Linked DNA regions of Neurospora crassa OR74A. The protein of the gene in region 1 interacts with the protein of each later gene in a pairwise test. Links are inferred from orthologs where the notes say so. Each region holds a gene or a part of one and is shown on either strand. Other genes may lie near its edges.

Region 1 (3,753 bases):
CTAATCAAGCGAGGAACAAGAGGGAGAAAAAAAGAAAGAAAACAAAATAAGGGGGAAAAGACGTTGACTCGGTGAAGCTGCCGAGATGGGATGTCTCGTCCAGAGACACATATCAGTCTACTGCGTAGCTGCCTGGCATGGCTGGCACGACTGGTCGACTGGCTCACGCCGGCGAGGAACGAAAAAAACCACCACTACCAGCGCCACGGGATTGGGAGCACCATGAGCACTAGCTGATCATCACGTGCGGATTTTGGCGTTTCTTGGGAGCTGAGCCGGTGAAACGCTCCTGACTGCGGCACCGACTCCGGCATTGACTTTCGGCAGTGTGTGTGTGGTGATATCGATCACTAATCAACCGGAGAGTGAGAGCATGTCGAGTGCAACGGGCCGACTGAACAGGTCCGCTTCCAAGTTTTCGTCCGTCATCCGTCCCCTCCGGCCAAGGAACGAAGGAATGGCTGCTCCGATCCCAAACACAAGATTTACCGGCCGGCCGGCGTGGACAGACCGCAACACGGGTGGGTGGGTGTCCGACGGCGTAAAACGATAATAAAATATAGCGCTTTGCGCGCGACACAACGATCAACGTCAAGACACACAAAAAGGTTCAAAACACCAAGAAAAAAAACAACTTCTACGATGATGGAATGTGTGGAACCTCTGACGCCGCCCTAGTAATTTTGGTCATCTTCCCAAAGGCAGACAACATACATGGGCAGCTCTTATGGAGCCATTTGAAGAAATCAATCCCCTTCTTCTCCGCGTCGCGAAATCGCAGAATCACCATAGGACACGGTTCGAACCCCGACAGAATGCCGGAGCCGATGTGCATTTGCGATGTTCGGCACTGTCTGAGGACGCGTTGAAGAAAAAAAAAGAGGAGAAAAAGGTGCAAGATTGAAAACGACGGAAGGGTTTCTCTAAAATACTTGCGAGGAGCGGAGGAATTTTGGGTGGATCTGCCAGAGAAGCACAGACCTTTTCTTTTTTTTTTCTTTCTCGAAAGACGGACAAAAGTTCAGCTGGGGCCGATGGGAAAGAGAGTCGAAAGTCTGCCCCACTTCCTTCCATCGGAACACTTGAGTTGTTGGGTCTTGCGCCGACGACGATGACCTAGAGAGCTCGAGCAGCTGGACTGGAGACCAATTAACCCCGATTCTCTGATGATGCTCCCGTCACGGAAATGAAATGGCAGCATCATGATGGAATGGAAAATGTTCACCTTCGACCCTGCCAAGACTTACCAAGCCTTTCCCTCTTGGGTGTGGATGTGACTTAGCGAGCCTGGCAAGGCTACGGGGACCAGCTGACCGACAGCTGGAGCTGAAGAAGGTTCCACGTCGAGACTTGTCACAAAGGGGCGGAAGCTCGCTGACCACGAGTGCTTGGCATTGCTGCTTGGTGCTGTGAGCTCTGTTCTGGGCTGCAGTGGCATTGCTGGCCGCCAGGGTGTTCTTGGCCTGTGCTTTTCGAGATCTGGATGCACCATCGCTTCCATGTCACCACTTGTCGCGACGTATTGATAGCGACAACTGCACACACTCGTCTTCAGTTGCAGGATAGGTATCGTGGCTTGCCCGCGCTACACCTTTGATAAACAACAACGACTGTGATACTTTGTTTGCAGTTCTTGACCCTCAGCTCCTCGACAGGATTTCAACCACCTACGGCGCATGTTATAGCCCATTGACGAACCGAGTTCGAACTCACTTTTGGCGCTCGCGCCTACCATACTCGATTACCCCCCCTAATCGTAGCTTGCGCCTTGTATTACCAGTGCCCCTCCTCCGTTTCCGTCAACACCTTCTCCTCGACCACGACGCCGACGACGACAACAACAACTCTCTACACTCAATCTCCTCAGACAACAACAGACACCACAGCTTACCATGGCGTCCGCCATTTTCTTTCTAGATCTCAAGGGCAAGGTGGGAAAATGCTCATCTGGTGGTGTCGCAAAGTCCACAGCAAAGCATCCAAAGCTGACCGCCCAATGCGCCCTCACTTAGACCCTCCTTGCCCGTAACTACCGCGGTGATATTCCCATGTCGGCCGTCGAAAAGTTCCCTATTCTATTAAGCGAAGCCGAAGAAGAGTCGTCCGCCGTACCACCATGCTTTTCCCACGAGGGTATCAACGTATGTTATCTACAAGCCCGTCGTCGTCGTCGTCCACCCTGCTGCTGCTGCTGCTGCTGCTGCTGCTGCTGCTGTTGCGAGAACCTCTTGGGCCACAGATTTGCTGAACACTTTCTTCGGTCATTTAATATATATAGTACCTCTACATCCGCCATAATAACCTGTACCTTCTCGCCCTCACAAAACGCAACACCAACGCCGCCGAGATCCTGCTCTTCCTGCACAAGATCGTCGAGGTCTTCACCGAGTACTTCAAAGCGTTGGAAGAGGAATCGATCCGGGACAACTTCGTCATCATCTACGAGCTCCTGGACGAGATGATGGATTTCGGCTACCCGCAAACGACCGAGTCCAAGATCCTGCAGGAGTACATCACCCAAGAGTCGCACAAGCTCGAAATCCAAGCGCGCCCGCCCATCGCCGTCACCAACGCCGTCTCATGGCGATCCGAAGGCATCCGCTACCGCAAGAACGAAGTGTTCCTCGACGTGATCGAATCCCTCAACCTGCTGGTCTCGGCCAACGGCAACGTCTTGCGCTCCGAAATCCTCGGCGCCATCAAAATGAAGTGCTACCTCTCCGGCATGCCCGAGCTGCGCCTGGGCCTAAACGACAAAGTCATGTTCGAGACCACGGGGCGCACCACGCGGGGAAAGGCCATTGAGATGGAAGACGTCAAGTTCCACCAGTGCGTACGCCTGTCGCGCTTCGAAAACGACCGCACCATCTCCTTCATCCCGCCCGACGGCGAGTTCGAGCTCATGTCGTACCGCTTGAACACCCAAGTCAAACCCCTGATCTGGGTCGAGTGCGTGGTCGAGTCCCACTCCGGTTCGCGAATCGAGTACATGCTCAAAGCGCGCGCGCAGTTCAAGCGCCGCTCGACGGCCAACAACGTGGAGATCATTGTGCCGGTCCCCGACGACGCCGACACGCCCCGGTTCCGGACGAACGTGGGGAGCGTGCACTACGCGCCCGAGAAGAGTGCCATCGTGTGGAAGATCAAGCAGTTTGGTGGCGGCAAGGAGTTTTTGATGCGCGCGGAGCTGGGTCTTCCTAGTGTGAGGGGCGACGATGAGCACGGCGGTGGCATGACGGGTGGATTTGGTGGCAGTATGGGTGGTGTCGGTGCCCCCGGGAAAGGAGCCAAGAGGCCGATTCAGGTCAAGTTTGAGATTCCATATTTCACCACGAGTGGGATTCAGGTGCGGTATTTGAAGATTACGGAGCCAAAGGTAAGACTTTTTTTTTTCTTTCTTTACCCATGTTTCTTCTAGCACCTGTGGCTGCTAGTTACTGACGATTTGAAACAGCTACAATACCCCTCCTTGCCTTGGGTCAGGTACATTACGCAGTCAGGAGATATCGCCGTCAGATTGCCCGACGCGGTATGAACGACGAGGACTTGGATACGGGCAAGAAGAAGCCTTGTTTTTTTTCTTCAAAACAAACGACAGATCGTGGAACAGAAAACCTACAATTTACCTACCAGCTGGGTGGGGCATGAAAGGGAGCGGCCGCAGAACAGGTATTAATTCTGGCTGCCTCATTGAACACATTGGCCTGTCCTCAGTCCCTGCCCCCAGGTCGACGAGATATGCCCTACCCAGAA
Region 2 (3,718 bases), about 730 kb from region 1:
AACAAAGACAGGGACACGGGATGTTATAATGTCTAGCGCGATGTCGAGTACAGATAGTGAAAAGGTGTAGGTGGTTGTACACAGTAGATAGTTAGAAGTGGGGTTTTTGATGTTGTTGATGTTGATGTAAGTTTAGCGTGAGGAGAAATAGGGGTGACGATATCGTCATATATCGAGTGATGTCCTGCTGTTTAGTTGAAGTGAGGTTCAGATCAGTTTGGGAAACAAAAAGTGGGAAAAGTGGGAGGAGGGACAACTTGGATAAATCCCATACATGTAGTGTATGATGTTCTTTCCAATCCATCCGAATTGAATCCAAGGGGACCGCCGGTTATCGGGTCGGTATAGTGAGTGTACAGCCATCATGCTTCTTCTGTGTTCAGCTTGGCTCCAGTCAGTCCTCTTGTTGGTCATTGATATGTTCCCTTGGTGCCCCGGCTGCGGTCTCGCTTTCCATCGATGGCTCGTTACCTATCTGACGTTCCTTCCAAGCCGTGCCATCAGGGCCAGAGCCGGTTCGCTGACGCTGACAGTAACAGGTGGGTGGCCTTTCGGGTGAGTGGCCTGCTTGCGCCAGCCCACGTTGGCCTTGGCTCGCTGGGGATTGCTGGGGTCGACCCGCCTAAACCCCGGTCATGCGCCGCTGGCTCCTCGAGTCGGGTGGAGTCGCACCCCCTAAGTGATCGGCGTTCCCTTGTCACCACCAAGTCTCCATTCCCACTCACTCCCCTCCGCCGTTCCGCCTGGAAGCCTCCAGTCAGTAATCGCAGTGCGTTCCACTTCCTGTGTGTCAATGTGTGTCCCGGCCTGAATGCTGCTCATCAATGTTAATTGTCAACCACAACCACCTGACGAATAGAGTCGTCTCAACCCTCCACGAGCGTTGCTTCCAACGTCGATGTGGACAAACCTTTCCTTGGTGGGCATCAAGGTAACGCCACCCCAACGTCTCCCGAGCGAATCGATCTGTTTCTGCGCATACACCCGATGTGTGAGGTCATGAACAGATGGATCGGTGTTGGCAACGCGTCGTTGAATCGTTGTTATCATTAAGCACATCGCCGAGGCCATGCCCAGTGTACCGGATACGCATTCCACTTGGTTTCCTCCCATCATCGTCCATGATTAGGACACTAGTGGTGTATCCGGTCTCCGAGTGGCTCAGTTTTGGCAGCTCATTAATCTACAATGCCCATATCTATATGATTAAGGAAAGGGAGTTTGCTCCCTCCTAATGGGTGACTGTAGCCCCGACTTCCTGCCACCACACCACACTCTGCTTCCCCTTCTCTCGGCGCGATTATTATTGTCCTCCCTGGTTGCATATGCTGTACTCTCGTGCTTCGGGTCGCCCCTCTCGTCTGTCCATCCGGTGCCGTCACCTATCGGAGGGACTGTGGTCGCTACCACAGCTTCAGAGAATCCCGGCCTGCTTGAGTGCGTTGTTTATTTCTTCCAAATCCTGCATCAGGAGGTAAAGGTATGCATTAGCGTATGCTGTTGGGGTAAATAAATGTCGACCATTGGCAATCGCAAGTGTTTGAGGGGACCCGGTTCGGTCGGTCGTGATGATGGAGAGAAAAAGACACCACAAAGCTTGATCAGCCTTTACATGATCTTTGTGACTTCATCCTCGACCTGAGGAAGTGCAATAAACGTGTCAGTGAGCGCGGTGGTTTACGGATAGGGATTGCAACAAGGGGGGGGGGGGGGGGGGGGGGGGGGGAGCGTGTAGGCGTAGCGACGCGGGAAGAAGGCAAATTCTGTCCGGGCAAGCGGTCACGGCTCCAAGTCAAATGCTTGTACGCACCTCCATGTCCTCTAAGGCGTCTTGTTGCGATATGCATCGTAGGACATTCTTCTTGCTGCTTTCCTGCAACTCTCCCGCCAGCAGGAGCTCGTCGAGGATGTAGTAGGCTTTGGTAAAGGAGAAAATGATGTCGAGCTCGCAGACGTTGCCGTAGTACTTGTCCATCTGCTCGACATAGCGATGGATGATCTCGAGGGTGATCAGCTCGTTGTCCTCGGAGGAGCATCCGGCGATGAAGAAAAGCGAGGCATATCGGCGGTAGACAATCTTGGTATCTGCAGACGAGCAAAAAGACAGTTAGTTAGCCCTATGTTGCGATCCAGGAGAATTGGCGGAGCTTGCCTTTGTATTCGAGAAAGTTGCACATGCGAGTCCTCCTAGCCAGGACAAGCTGGGAAACGTCCTTGACGATCTTGGCCTTGTCCTTGGGAGACAGAGTGGTGAACCATTTGGCCAGGCGCTGGATATTTGACGTGCGGTTAGTCGGGAGAAGGACAGCGTGGTTGGGGACGAGAGCAACGCCCGCGGCGGGCAAGACGCACCACTTTGCCCTGGCGCGAGAGGAGGATTAGATAGCTGCAGAGCTCCGGGTCAGCTTGACTTCATTGTGAATAGCAAGATGGCGACTGTCGGGCGCATACTGAATAGCCATGATGACGATGATTCCATCAACTACCCGGGATCACGTTGAGCGGGAGTCGACAATGTGATCATGGAGGTGTTGTCACGGGCGGGAAATTTGACAAGGACACCACGCCGACAGCCTGGACTCCTCCCGCCTGGAGCTGTCCAAAGGGGCGGGACGACGGCCGTCCAATGTGCCTGAAGAACCAGACCCAAGGCAAGTGGGGCTCTACCCGATCCTAGAGACTATTAGTGCATCTGGCACTTCTCGTTTTCAGAGGCTTCTTTAGTGGTCTTATAGTGGATGATGTGCTCCTGAGTTGATCGAGGCTTAACATGGGAGTTCGTTGATCGTCTAACTGTCTATGTACCTAACGACAATTGAGTTGATTGACTTTTTATCTTCTGCTGATCCCATGTTGCTGGGCAAACCACTTAACGCACACAAAATCTCAAGGACGGATCAAAAGGGAAGCCCTTTTCTCATTAAACCCCCTCAGTCGTAGCGGGCGTCTGGTTCATTTTTCTATCATCTTCTGCCGGCATGACTCAACTAGTTCTCTTCCTCAGTGTTGGTGGCTGCAACAAGCGAACATGACCTACTAATCGTGGGAGAAGTACAAGGCTCCCCACGTTCACCGGGCAGTTCCTCACCTAACAAGACATCCCGTTCCTGTCAGACCTTCTGGTTGGCTGTTGCTTTCTTCTCCTTCTACGGCATCCCGCGCATATCTACACCAAAGTGTGGTTGAGAACGCAACCGACAGTCATCAGATGCCGAAGCTGGCATAGCTGCCGTTGACATTCTCGGCAATGTCCGCGACGTGCATCTCCGACTCTGACAAACTTGCTTGAGAGTCCGCACTTGTTCTTGCTCATGGCGCCTTCCCTGGGAGTTGCGTGTAGAGCCATGCTTCACCTAGCGCAAGGTCAAAATCCGAGAGTCGGATGATGACCTCTCCGATTTATGGTCTGCGGACATCCCACATTGCGAAAACTCCGTCTAACCTCTATCCTGGGTTATGTTCTTGGTCGACGACGGATATTCATACTTTTCCAAACTGATGTTCCCCTGTGTCGTTACAGCTGCCTATCTCTGGCAACACCACCCTACCATCGGCGTTTGTGGTGATACATATCATCACAAGCTTACAAAAGGTACCTTCATACTCCCGAATCGAACCACCCCCGGACCCATGCCAGTAAATCATTAATAATCGGTTCTAGGCTCCATTGAACCAAATAAGTCGTACCCCACTATCTAGTCCAAAGTTCAAGAGGTAG

What was found.
Region 2: the proteins of NCU09688 (region 1) and NCU10618 interact in binary tests that used the Saccharomyces cerevisiae proteins (3 or more experiments, as listed by UniProt). The link is inferred for Neurospora crassa OR74A from reciprocal best matches to the Saccharomyces cerevisiae genes APM1 and APS1.

Annotation. Positions count from the first base shown.
Region 1 is NC_026505.1:834,764-838,516, reverse strand, and holds the start of NCU09688 (AP-1 complex subunit mu), read left to right. Parts: upstream 1-1,500; 5' UTR 1,501-1,892; coding exon 1,893-1,931; intron 1,932-2,012; coding exon 2,013-2,141; intron 2,142-2,278; coding exon 2,279-3,376; intron 3,377-3,454; coding exon 3,455-3,535; 3' UTR 3,536-3,753. UniProt on the Saccharomyces cerevisiae protein: Component of the adaptor complexes which link clathrin to receptors in coated vesicles. Clathrin-associated protein complexes are believed to interact with the cytoplasmic tails of membrane proteins, leading to their selection and concentration.
Region 2 is NC_026505.1:1,564,125-1,567,842, forward strand, and holds NCU10618 (AP-1 complex subunit theta-1), read right to left. Parts: upstream 2,904-3,718; 5' UTR 2,463-2,903; coding exon 2,452-2,462; intron 2,387-2,451; coding exon 2,353-2,386; intron 2,271-2,352; coding exon 2,153-2,270; intron 2,086-2,152; coding exon 1,811-2,085; intron 1,639-1,810; coding exon 1,609-1,638; 3' UTR 507-1,608; downstream 1-506. UniProt on the Saccharomyces cerevisiae protein: Component of the adapter complexes which link clathrin to receptors in coated vesicles. Clathrin-associated protein complexes are believed to interact with the cytoplasmic tails of membrane proteins, leading to their selection and concentration.